Linked DNA regions of Nothobranchius furzeri. The protein of the gene in region 2 purifies or fractionates together with the protein of the main gene of each other region. This does not show direct contact. Links are inferred from orthologs where the notes say so. Each region holds a gene or a part of one and is shown on either strand. Other genes may lie near its edges. The genes, in order: ilf2, sf3b4 and phf5a.

Region 1 (3,720 bases), on a different chromosome or scaffold from region 2:
CCACTAAACAACAGTGCTAGAGGAGAGCAGCTGTCCGAAGTAAGATGGCTGCCGCGTACGGACGTCAGGGTCCATTGACGAACAGCGCAGGTGAGAATCAGTGCATCTTTTGTATGACAGAATGTGAAACTATTGAGCACCTTTTTCTTCTCGTGTTCAGTAACACTTGGTTTTGAGGAGGATGTTTATCGATTGGTAAATATTGAGAGAAATGATGTAATCTAAAGTACTGATATACATGGATGCTCTTCCAAAAAAGATATCCAAAATGGTGAACATTACCAAATACATAAGACTAAATGGAAAAACAGCAAGCCTAACATTAATCATTTTAAAAATTAAATAAAACAATTTACAACATCTCAAAGAGTATTTTCAGAAAATAACCAATCTATAACTGAGTTGTGCGAAACAATGTCTGAGTTTCTTGTTCTTTAAATTACAGTCCAATGAATCAAACATGTTTGAACTATAATGCTGAAATATCAACCTCTGAACGTTTTTTGTTTGTTGTTGATGTTATTTTATTTTTTGTTTTAATTATTATTATTTTGCATCATAATTTATTTTATGGTAGTGCCATGCGGTAAATGTTGCAAGTTCTAAATGTCATTTTTATTTTCCTCAAGTGCGGTCATTTGTATTTGTTATATTCTTCAGTACGTTGAATGTAGGTTACATTGTAAACTGAATGTATGTGAAAACGAAGATTGAAATAAAGTTAAAAAAGAGACTTGACCAGAAAGACGTGAATGAATAAAGTTACGCTATGGCAGCAGCAAAAAAATATACCAATAAATAAAAAAAACAGCGCATCTAGCTATAATATGTGATATCTATGCGGTCCACACTCCATTCCAGTTGGGGGCGGTAATGTACCACGGCGTTGGTGACGTAAAACAGAAAGAAAGAAACAATTCCGCCGGAAACAGAAGTCTCTTTGTGCCACACTAGTCCCTTCCGCAGTTAGCCTCCGCTCATTCATTAAACCATATCAAACCGTTCTCCCTGTTTTCTCTCATCAAACCATCAAAACGTCGTACGCAATGAGGTAACGCTGACTAACCGGACCTGGTTGTGTTGGCTTTACGCTAACTAGCCTGTAATCAGTGTCATTAGCTGTTAGCCATTAGCTCGGTATAGCTTTCTGTTAAAGTCTCGTTCTGAACGTGGTGTTACTTATTTATTCCTCCAATAACAGTGTTACTGATAACTCTTACGTTTTATCGACAGCAAGTTAACACTGAGGTAGCGAATTAGGACTATAACACACGTGTGTTAGCTAAGATCAGCGTTTTTATTTATCCTTTAGTCTGGCAGTAGCGAGCGCACTGGACTGATCTGGGTTTTGTGTTTGTGAACAGAGGAGACCGCGGCAGGGGCCGAGGACTCCGCTTCGGAGCCCGGGGAGGCATGGTCCAGGGGTGAGTACCTTACTGATCTCTGTTCCTGTTCCATACTGGTTCTTTCAGTCAGGTCCTTGATCTGGTTGTAGAAAGTATCTGACAGTTAGTCTTAAGTTTGCTGGTTCGATTCCTGCTTCTGGATGGAACTCGGACCCATAAGCCATCAGAGTAGAAAAGTCTAAGTGAGAAAGATCTTCAGAAGTGGAAAAAGAAGCCTCTTGTGATTACACAGGACGACGGCACTCTCCCCAGAACATCTCCAGAAGGACTTCTTCAGAGCAGTTAGATCTTTCCATCCTGTCTGAAAGCAGCGTCCTGTTTCTGTCTCTTTAAACTTCATTTTTTCCCAAATGAAACAATCCATTGATTTCTGGATCCTTAAAAAGCTGCTGTAAAGTCTGGAATCATCAGCTCATGTTGTGCGTGGTCCTGGTGATGAAGCTAAGACGGATTGTTGGTTATTGTGCTGAAGCAAAAAGAACCGCTGCCTTGGTTATAACTGAAACCTCCAAATCATTGTTAAAATCTACTTTTTGGGTTTGAACATCAGCTTTCATAAGGTCCCGGTCAGACGTTCTGGTTCTGACTAGTAGGGACATTTGTGCCAGTCCACCGATTCTCCGTTCTTCTCTCTGTCCCGCTCAGGTACCGTCCTTTTGTCCCGCACATCCCATTTGACTTCTATGTGGTGAGTTCACGCATGTGACAGACAACAGAACAGCATGCAGGAATAATCAGTAACCATGGCTACAACTAGCATCTGGTAGAATCCGGTCCATTTTGTGGTTCTGAAGCAGACTGTTGTCCTTCCCCAGTGTGAGATGGCCTTCCCCAGAGTGAAACCTGCTCCTGATGAGACGGCGTTTAGCGAGTGTCTGCTGAAGAGGAACCAGGACCTGAGCCCCTCACCTGCAGAACAGGTCAGCTAGGTATTCCAGTTCAACACCTCACTGGTCTCATCGTGCTGTAGGTTACTTACCTGACGTCTTCATTTCCTTCTGCTTCTAGTCTTCCATCTTGTCTTTGGTCACAAAGATCAATAATGTCATCGACAACCTGATTGTTGCCCCTGGTAGCTTTGAAGTGGTGAGTGGTGAACATCTGACCTGTAGAGCTGCCATGTTTACTGAAACTGGTGTAAATGAGTTGGTGTCAGTAAGGCTGTAATGATCTGTGTTTGCTGTCACGTCCTAATCTGGGATTAAATGTTTCTCTTCCGTCATGACCTTCCTAGACCTCCCACAGGCTGAGCTTTATGTAGCTGAGCGGTTTTATCTTTTAGAACGCATCAAAGCCATCCCGCATGCTTACGTTATCTGTCCACAGCAAATAGAAGAAGTTCGTCAGGTGGGTTCATACAAGAAGGGAACCATGACAACTGGACACAACGTCGCTGACCTCGTTGTCATCCTCAAGATCCTCCCTACACGTGAGTCATTGTTCATTCAGACCAGCCCTGGGTCCGTCACTAGGGCCTCATCCTGCTGGAACAGCTTCAACAGATGTTCTGGTGAAACCACTGAGCACATCTGGACTCGTGTTGGTAAATACATGGCTAGTCCCATCATGCAGCCCGACCGGACCGGCTATCCAGCAGCTAAGCTGTTTAGCTTTAGCCTCTTTAAGCTTAACAGTGATGACGAAACTCGTCAGACCGTACAGGAACTCGAGAACAGAAGTGTCTGAATCCTAAATGTGTTTATGAGGCAACTTGGTGTCATTTAAACCCCGAATACCGTCGGTAGAGTGGTGATTAATACTGAGTCCAGTGTTAAACACCTGGAGCTAAAGCTGACTCTGCTCTTCATGTTTAATCTAACAGTGGAGGCAGTGGCTGCGCTCGGGAACAAGGTGGTGGAGACTCTTCGCACCCAGGACCCCGCAGAAGGTACGGGGGTGGGTCTGTGTGTGTGTGTGGGGGGGTGTATCTGCAGCTCTGGACCTTACCTAAAGGCTGAAGTTGGTCAGAGTGCCCTCAAGAAACAGAGTGAGCATCTTTAGTGAGTTAATGATGTAATAAACACTAATGGTGTGTGTGTGTGTGTGTGTGTGTGTGTGTGTGTGTGTGTGTGTGTGTGTGTGTGTGTGTGTGTGTGTGTGTGTGTGTGCACCCGCGCTTTCAGTTCTCTCCATGCTGACCAATGAGACGGGCTTTGAGATCAGCTCAGCTGATGCAACCGTTAAGATCCTCATCACCACTGTCCCGCCCAACCTACGCAAGCTGGATCCAGAGCTGCACCGTATGATACACACACACACACCCACACATGCATACACACACACACACACATGCACACACACAGACACTCGTTTT
Region 2 (3,751 bases):
CCATGCGCCGGCACATGCATACTCTGTGCATTCAACTGCCTCTCTTTTTTAAAGGCTAAATATTTTTTTGTTAAGTGTTCTATTCTAAGCTTCTGTTGATTAATTGACTATTCCATCCGACAACGTTTCAAGCGAAAAAAAACTGGTTTACTGCTAAAAAATATGAAATAAAACAACAAAATTATCAGGCTGAAGTATATAAAAGGCTCAATAATATGCATTATGGTTTCGTCCATCATGAACAGCCCCCCTCCTTCCACTCTCACTGAGACTTCTTTGCTTCGTTCAAAAGAGCCAGTCTTTTGAGCGGCCCTTTGAAGACGTAATTATTTTTATTTTTATGAGCTTTACTATCTATTTGTGGTATAACGGTTTGTGACTAAATGCATTATGGGATACTTTTCTGGTCCAAGTCCAAAGATGGATACTTTATTGTAATGGGTGAAGGACGAACACATCCAGGAACTTTGAGCGTACTTGCCATGATGCGTACTTGGTATTGGAACAGTACACGGGCTAACGCCAATGACATTTCACAATTAATATAGTACACACGTTTAAACAAGTACTCATATTGCAAAACAGCCTATAACTTGTTTTTTTTAATTAGTCTAAACCTTTCTCTTTCTGTGGTCTTTGGTGATTGCCAAGCAACACTTCCTAACCAGGAAGCAACTTGGTTCGCTCCCTGCTAGCCAAACTATCTCTAAGTATCATGACAGTGCTATACTTTCTCATATTTATGCCATAATGTCAAATTATTTCTTTATTATGTGACAAATATTATGAAGGTTAAAAGAAGGCGATTGTGTTTATGAACACCGGGTTTTAGTGAATCAGCTTGTGAAATATGTGTTGCATTATTTGGTTTGTGTTGTGAAATTCTGTTCTCGTTTTAGGGGCCAAAAAAAGAAAATGTAATAAGTGTATTTGAGCAGGTTTAATGAGTGAGCCTGGAGGTCTTTAATTTTGTTTATTTTTAAGGTTTACTTTTTAAAATAAAGTTCAGTAGATGTATTTTTCTTCACAAGCCATTAATTATTCTCAGCTCTTTCAGTTATTTTAATGACTATTATCTATGAAGGCTCCCTTACTGATGCTTATTTTAAATTCATTTTATAAACAGCTTTGGCAACAGTTTTATTTTTTGTCTTTGGTGCATGATGTTAGTTTCTATTTTTAATGTGTGTTTTATATATATATATATATATATATATAAAAAATAGTTACTTTCTAAAATTTTTGAGACCCTAAATGTGTGTATTTTCTATGAACACTTTGTATTCCATGTTTATACCTTTAGTATATTTATATGTATATGAAATAAATCAAATAATAAAAATAATTGTGGCTTTGTTTTGAATTTGTTGTTAATGGTTAAGTGCCATACAACTAAAAATATCCCAGAAAAAACTATCAAATCAATTCAAATGAAACTTAGTGATTTTGATTGCCTTTCAAGTTTTTAATTAACATTCATTTATTTGCTGTCTTTTTTTGTTTAGGAATGTCTGGGTCTTTAGTGTAATCAGAGTATAACAATTTTTTATGTAACTACAAAAACAGAAGAATTAGTTTATTTTTACTTTAATTTATTTGATCTTATTTTATTTTGTTGGGTTTTACCGGAAGAGGCGGGCCTTCCCTTCACAACGCTCTCCCAGCGTTGGTCATTCAACATGGCAGCGGGACCAATTTCAGAAAGAAACCAAGGTAATTTCATTGTTTAAATGGTTTAACGCTTACACCTTCATTATTTAGCGATATCTCTTGATTTATAACAATTGAAATTCTTATCCGCTCTTTCCCACCAATGTTAGCTGTCTAATTAGCCCGTGTTTTGGGGGTAAATGCGTACTCAAACACATGGAAGTCTCCGGTCTCGTTAGCCTAGCTTCTAGCTAAGTTAGCCGTTTTTTGTTTATTTTAATTGTATTACTTAATGCTTGTATTACTTAATGCTTGACTTCACGATAGCATACGGGAGTTTTATGTTGTTTATTTGAAATGCAGAGATTATTCCAAGTCAGGACTAGAACCACTAAACAACTAAAGTTAGCCTTAAAAACTCGCGACATTAGCATGTAGCAATGCTCACCTATCAATGTAAACACCGTTTTCCTTAATAGGTATTTTCTTGTGTTTCCAGATGCCACCGTGTATGTCGGTGGTTTGGATGAGAAGGTGTCAGAGCCGTTGCTATGGGAGCTTTTTCTGCAGGCTGGCCCTGTTGTCAACACACACATGCCCAAAGATCGGGTCACAGGTCAACATCAAGGTGAGAATCAGGCTATTCAAGATGGGATGAAAGTCCTAAAATTCACTGTAACAATGTACATAACAAATGAAACTGTTCCACTCAGGTTATGGATTTGTGGAGTTCCTCAGTGAGGAAGATGCTGACTATGCCATTAAAATCATGAACATGATTAAGCTCTACGGCAAACCGATTCGCGTGAATAAGGCCTCCGCCCACAACAAAAACCTGGATGTTGGCGCTAATATCTTCATCGGGAACTTGGACCCGGAGATCGATGAAAAACTGCTCTACGACACGTTCAGTGCTTTTGGCGTTATTCTACAAACTCCAAAGATCATGCGAGACCCAGACACCGGCAACTCCAAGGGTTACGCCTTCATCAACTTTGCCAGCTTTGATGCGTCCGACGCCGCCATCGAGGCCATGAATGGCCAGTACCTGTGCAACCGGCCCATCACTGTGTCGTACGCGTTCAAGAAAGATTCTAAAGGAGAACGCCATGGCTCAGCGGCAGAGCGACTGCTAGCTGCACAAAACCCTCTCTCGCAGGCAGACAGGCCACATCAGCTGTTTGCAGATGCTCCGCCCCCACCATCTGCACAGACGCCACTCCTAACCGCAATGGGCCCCGGGATTCCTCTTCATGGTATGACTGCTCTAATCTTAACTGCCGATAAAGAAGTACCTTTCTACATTTATTGGGTTAATTATATAATAGTTTTGTTTTTTTTTTTGCGCAGGTTTGCCGCCTCCTGGTGCCTTTCCTCACGTTCCTCCCCCTGGATCAATGCCTCCAACGATGCCCCCTTCTATGGGCATGCCTCCATCAGCAGGGACACCAGGTCCTCCATCTTCTCTTGGTGGACCTCCAGCTGTTCCTCCACCTTTCGCACCGGCCAGCATGCCTCCAGGTATAACTCGGTTGCAGAAAAGCCTGAAAATTTAAGTCTCTGCTCCCCATTTTAGCTTTAAGAAGTCCAATAACGATTAATAAAATTGTGCAGGATCAACCTCAGTCATCTCCTTCAAATGTGAAGAAATAAAAACAATAATGTTTCAATTTAAATGTCAGGTTATTAAAATGCAGCTGTTAGCCCTGAATGAGTTATTTTTATTTGTTTGATCCGGGCCCACAGGTATGCCTCAGATGCCCATGCCGCCTGCTCCTCCTGGCATGGTGCCTCCACCTGCTCCACCAGGATCGGCTCGAGCTCCACCGCCCCCCAGCATGCCCCCACCTCCTATGGGCATGCCTCCCAGAGCACCGTATGGACCCCCCATGGGTGAGCACTGTGGCATTTTCTCAAAAATACAATTTTTTTTAAATGAAAGTTGTTTTTAACCTGTTATTTCTTTTTTTTTTTTTTTTTTTCCCAAGCCCACCCTGTGCCTCCAGGTATGAGAGGACCTCCCCCCATGCCTCCTCCCGGCTATGGTGCCGTTCCTCCTCGTCCACCTCCTTTTGGTTTCCAGAGAGCACCTCCAATGCCA
Region 3 (3,751 bases), on a different chromosome or scaffold from region 2:
CATAGAACAGATCTGTCTTGGAGCTGCCCAGGTTTACGATCTTGGGACAGCCATCTCGCTGCAGAGAGGAACAAAATATTTAGAGACGTTCCTGCAGACACAGCTGGGCGTACGAGAGGAGGACTCACATCTTTCTCCTGGATGGTGCACTCTTTGCAGTAGTAAGCGTCAGACACGCCGGGACCTCCGCAGATCACACAGCGCCCCTGATAGGAGCCGTAGTTACACTCATCACAAATACGCACCAGCGTGCACGGTCGCACGTAAGAGTCGCAGATCACACACTTCCCATCACCTGGAAGAGGAAGAGAAACTAAGCTGGTGATGGGAACAATAATTATTTCTACATTTACTAATAAAGTGAAAGTGCTTCTGATCTTATTAGGTAACTGTAACAATCACAAGACTGACCCGCCGTCTCTTCTGTGAGTGTTTGGAACGTTAGGAAGAGTTTCAGTCACGTGTTTTTAAGTGTGAGTGGTTGTGAAACGAAGTGGGAGAGGAGCCAAAGCTGCACTGGAGGTGTTGGATAAGTGAAACCGGAGATCTGTTTAACTGCGACTTTTCCTATTCGACCTAATGGCTTCATTGACTTTTCTCAAAGCAAAATGTGGAAGTGACATCTTTCTCAGATTTAAATCTGAGCCTTGATCTGTGTGTACAGGTGCAGACTCTGCTCAGCTCGTGTCCTTCACCTAAACCAACTTCTGTCTCAGGGTCCCATCTGGACTCCAATGCACCAGAATGCCACGTTTGGAGTTTCTTTGATAATCCTGCAACATTTGCAATAACTTTAAAATTTTCCTGTCGGGTGCTTTTCCAGATTTTCTGGTTAAGTTGGCAAGTGTCCAGACAGGATGTCCACAGGTTTGAAAATTTCTGTTAACACATTCTTCTGTTGTCTCTTTTGTCCCAGCTGGGACACGCTGAACTCAGTGGATGGAGAAACTAGTTTTAGTGAAGTTCAGTGTTGAGAGTTTAACTTCTCTCAGACTAGTTTCAGTCTGGTGAACATCTTGGTTTGGGTTGTGACCTCGTTATTATTCCTCATGTCCAGCATGTACTGTCTAAAGGTGATTCATGTTTGCACGGTCTGTGTAGAAAATATGTTTTCTTCACTTACAGCCATACATCTGGACCCTGATTACTGTAAATGACCACCAGATTTTACCTGCATATGAGTCTGGGTCACGGGGGTTGCAGCCCCAGCAGAGATACCCAACCTTGCCTCTTTCTGAAGACCTCCTCCAGCAGGATCCCCAGGTGTGCCTTGCCCAAAGTGGAGGTACCTCCAATGTGTCGCAGGTCGACCTGGAGCCTCCTGCTGGCAGGACATGCCTGAAACGCTTCCCCTAGGTGGAGTCCAGGGGACATCCATACCAAATTCCCAACCCACCTCAGCTGGCTCCTCATCTTTAAAGACATCAGTCAGTCAAAAGCTCTGCCACGTGTAGCATATGATATATGCTGCCATCCCAATTTTGCATCATCACAGGATTCTGCCTCACTTTCAAGACCAATCCCAGTCTTTGTCCTCGATATCCAAAATCCTAACGATGACCTGCATATCTCCACCTCCACCCTAAGGCCTCGTCTTCCTTTTCCTTGTTGACACCTCAGATCATTTTCAAATTCTCTTATCTAAATTTATGTTTGATTATTTTAAAAATGCTGCTTAAATTTACATTGCATTGACTTTAAAATTCATTACGGATTTTACATTGGCATGGTTTTTTATAAGGTGGGTGTTTTTAAAGTGCCTATAAATAAAATCTAGAGGTTTAACAGCGTTTATGATGGTTGGTTCTTTTTAGCCGCCTTTACTCCAAGGAAATCAGCTAGATCTTTGGGTTAGAATTAGCCAAAAGCACAACGTTCTAGAGGAAAACCTATAACAGAAATAGACTTTACAGTAAACGTGTTAAAAGTGGAGACACTTACACTTCTCGCAAAGTCTCCCGATAGCTGCGGGAGGAAAACAGAACAGTCGTTCAATTAAACGTTTCAATTTTCAGGATAAACGATAAATTTGTACTTCTCTATGTTCAATACTCAGTTAAACGGGTTTAAAAACCATAAAATTGTTAGTGTCAACAGAGATGAAAACCGTAAAGACACGTCCAGCTCCGCTACTCATTTCAGTATTTATGCTAACAGTTAGCTTAGCAGCTAACACATGGCGCAAATCAAACGTGTTTCTGATATATCTGTGTAGTTTCAAAGGTACCGAACGACATAAAGTAAAGAAACATACCGACACCCGCTTGTTTTCGACAGAAGATCAAATCTGGGTGATGTTTAGCCATTTTCAGCTAACCAACGACGGCCGAACGTAATTCAGTTTTAACCTTTGACCGGCGTGCAAGTGTCGAGTTGAGTCGCTACCACCACCTAGTGCCTTCACCTTGTAACTACACTCTTAAAAAACGGGTTTCAAATAAACAAGGACATTGGGTGAAAATGCTGTCATTAGCCCAGAATTTAAACAAATTTCCAAGTTTTATGTTCACTAAAATTCTTTATCCCTCTGCTCCAGAGGTGATGCCTCATCCTGATACGAGCTGCAATGTCTCTGAGTTACCATAGAACAGCAGCAAAGTTAATAAAATTACAAAAATCCCTGGGTTGCTGACACTGTCTCAAAAGGTTCAACAACAAATAATGAAGAATAGGGAACATTTTTATCCAGGTCCATTTTATTATTTTCTTTTCAGTTGTTGTTTAACCACTAATCAAAAGCCAAGATGGATTTTCAGTATATATTTATTACTTTTGTCAGTTTCAAATCATTACAATGACCACTGTGAGTTCTTCTTTAACAGAATTATACCAACAAACATTAAAACAGTTAACTTGGCTAATATGACCAGCCAGTGAATTAGTCTAACTAGTGAAACAGGTCCACATTGCCATACCGGCTCCTGGTCTATGCAGCCAGGATCAGCCGGTTTTCATCTGTTCACCTACTGGTCTGACTCTTACTCCCGACTGGATATTTGCTCACAAAAACAAATCTGATAACGAAACAAAAACAATGACTTGATCACTAACAAAAGCTTTTGAGGAACTGGGTGTAGCTAGGGTGACCTTGGGGGAGGCGAGACAGTTCTGAACTCTCTTTTTGGGTCGGAGGGTCTGAGAGTTTATAAACAGCAGAGATTCATGAGACATAGCTCCAGCCGTCTTTTGATTCACATCTGTTACCATCTCAGAACGTCATCTACAGCAGCCGCTTATATCTCCATCGGTTCAGCTCCTCCTGCAGTGTCTTGTTGTGTTGTTTTCCCACATCTCTTCCATGCTCCTCCCATTTTCTGGCCTCCTTTTTTCTGGGGTTTGTCTTTTTTTAACTCCGCTCAGCTTGTCCTTTATGCTCGCCTCCATTTTCTGCTGTTTCTCTTTTCTCTGCGGTCTGATGGATCATGTCTGCCAGTGGGCTCTGCTCTGGCACCTGATGTCCCGACTGGATCATCTGCTCGGCCTTCTCTTGTTTCACTTCACACTGCGAGACTTTTTGAGGCTGGTCTGGGGGGTTGATAAGGGTCTCCATCTCCTCCACCTTCACCTGCACTCTAACGACTACAGAGACACAACCCAGTCACACAACAATGATCAAAAATGACCTTTAAACCAAATTTGAAGAGCCTTCACTTACTCTCTCTCTCCTCTGGTTCAGCCTTCAGCTGGACGAGCGGCGCCGCTGGACATCGGCTTTGAGAATCGTCAGTGGTCGTATTCGTATCACCAGCCA

What was found.
Region 1: the proteins of sf3b4 (region 2) and ilf2 fractionate together in Homo sapiens (co-fractionation; 3 studies listed by BioGRID, with this or other methods). This does not show direct contact. The link is inferred for Nothobranchius furzeri from reciprocal best matches to the Homo sapiens genes SF3B4 and ILF2.
Region 3: the proteins of sf3b4 (region 2) and phf5a purify together in Homo sapiens (affinity purification with mass spectrometry; 6 studies listed by BioGRID and IntAct, with this or other methods). This does not show direct contact. The link is inferred for Nothobranchius furzeri from reciprocal best matches to the Homo sapiens genes SF3B4 and PHF5A.

The regions. Positions count from the first base shown.
Region 1 is NC_091751.1:23,258,273-23,261,992, reverse strand, and holds the start of ilf2 (interleukin enhancer-binding factor 2 homolog), read left to right. Parts: upstream 1-893; 5' UTR 894-1,046; coding exon 1,047-1,051; intron 1,052-1,364; coding exon 1,365-1,424; intron 1,425-2,051; coding exon 2,052-2,094; intron 2,095-2,221; coding exon 2,222-2,326; intron 2,327-2,414; coding exon 2,415-2,492; intron 2,493-2,732; coding exon 2,733-2,835; intron 2,836-3,228; coding exon 3,229-3,294; intron 3,295-3,529; coding exon 3,530-3,646; intron 3,647-3,720. UniProt on the Homo sapiens protein: Chromatin-interacting protein that forms a stable heterodimer with interleukin enhancer-binding factor 3/ILF3 and plays a role in several biological processes including transcription, innate immunity or cell growth.
Region 2 is NC_091759.1:1,629,879-1,633,629, forward strand, and holds the start of sf3b4 (splicing factor 3B subunit 4), read left to right. Parts: upstream 1-1,444; 5' UTR 1,445-1,679; coding exon 1,680-1,713; intron 1,714-2,149; coding exon 2,150-2,278; intron 2,279-2,363; coding exon 2,364-2,906; intron 2,907-3,000; coding exon 3,001-3,171; intron 3,172-3,396; coding exon 3,397-3,543; intron 3,544-3,638; coding exon 3,639-3,751. UniProt on the Homo sapiens protein: Component of the 17S U2 SnRNP complex of the spliceosome, a large ribonucleoprotein complex that removes introns from transcribed pre-mRNAs.
Region 3 is NC_091756.1:28,019,730-28,023,480, reverse strand, and holds the start of phf5a (PHD finger-like domain-containing protein 5A), read right to left. Parts: upstream 2,409-3,751; 5' UTR 2,307-2,408; coding exon 2,255-2,306; intron 1,966-2,254; coding exon 1,942-1,965; intron 296-1,941; coding exon 129-295; intron 59-128; coding exon 1-58. Other genes in the region: l3mbtl2 (lethal(3)malignant brain tumor-like protein 2), read right to left, coding at 3,347-3,579, 3,656-3,751.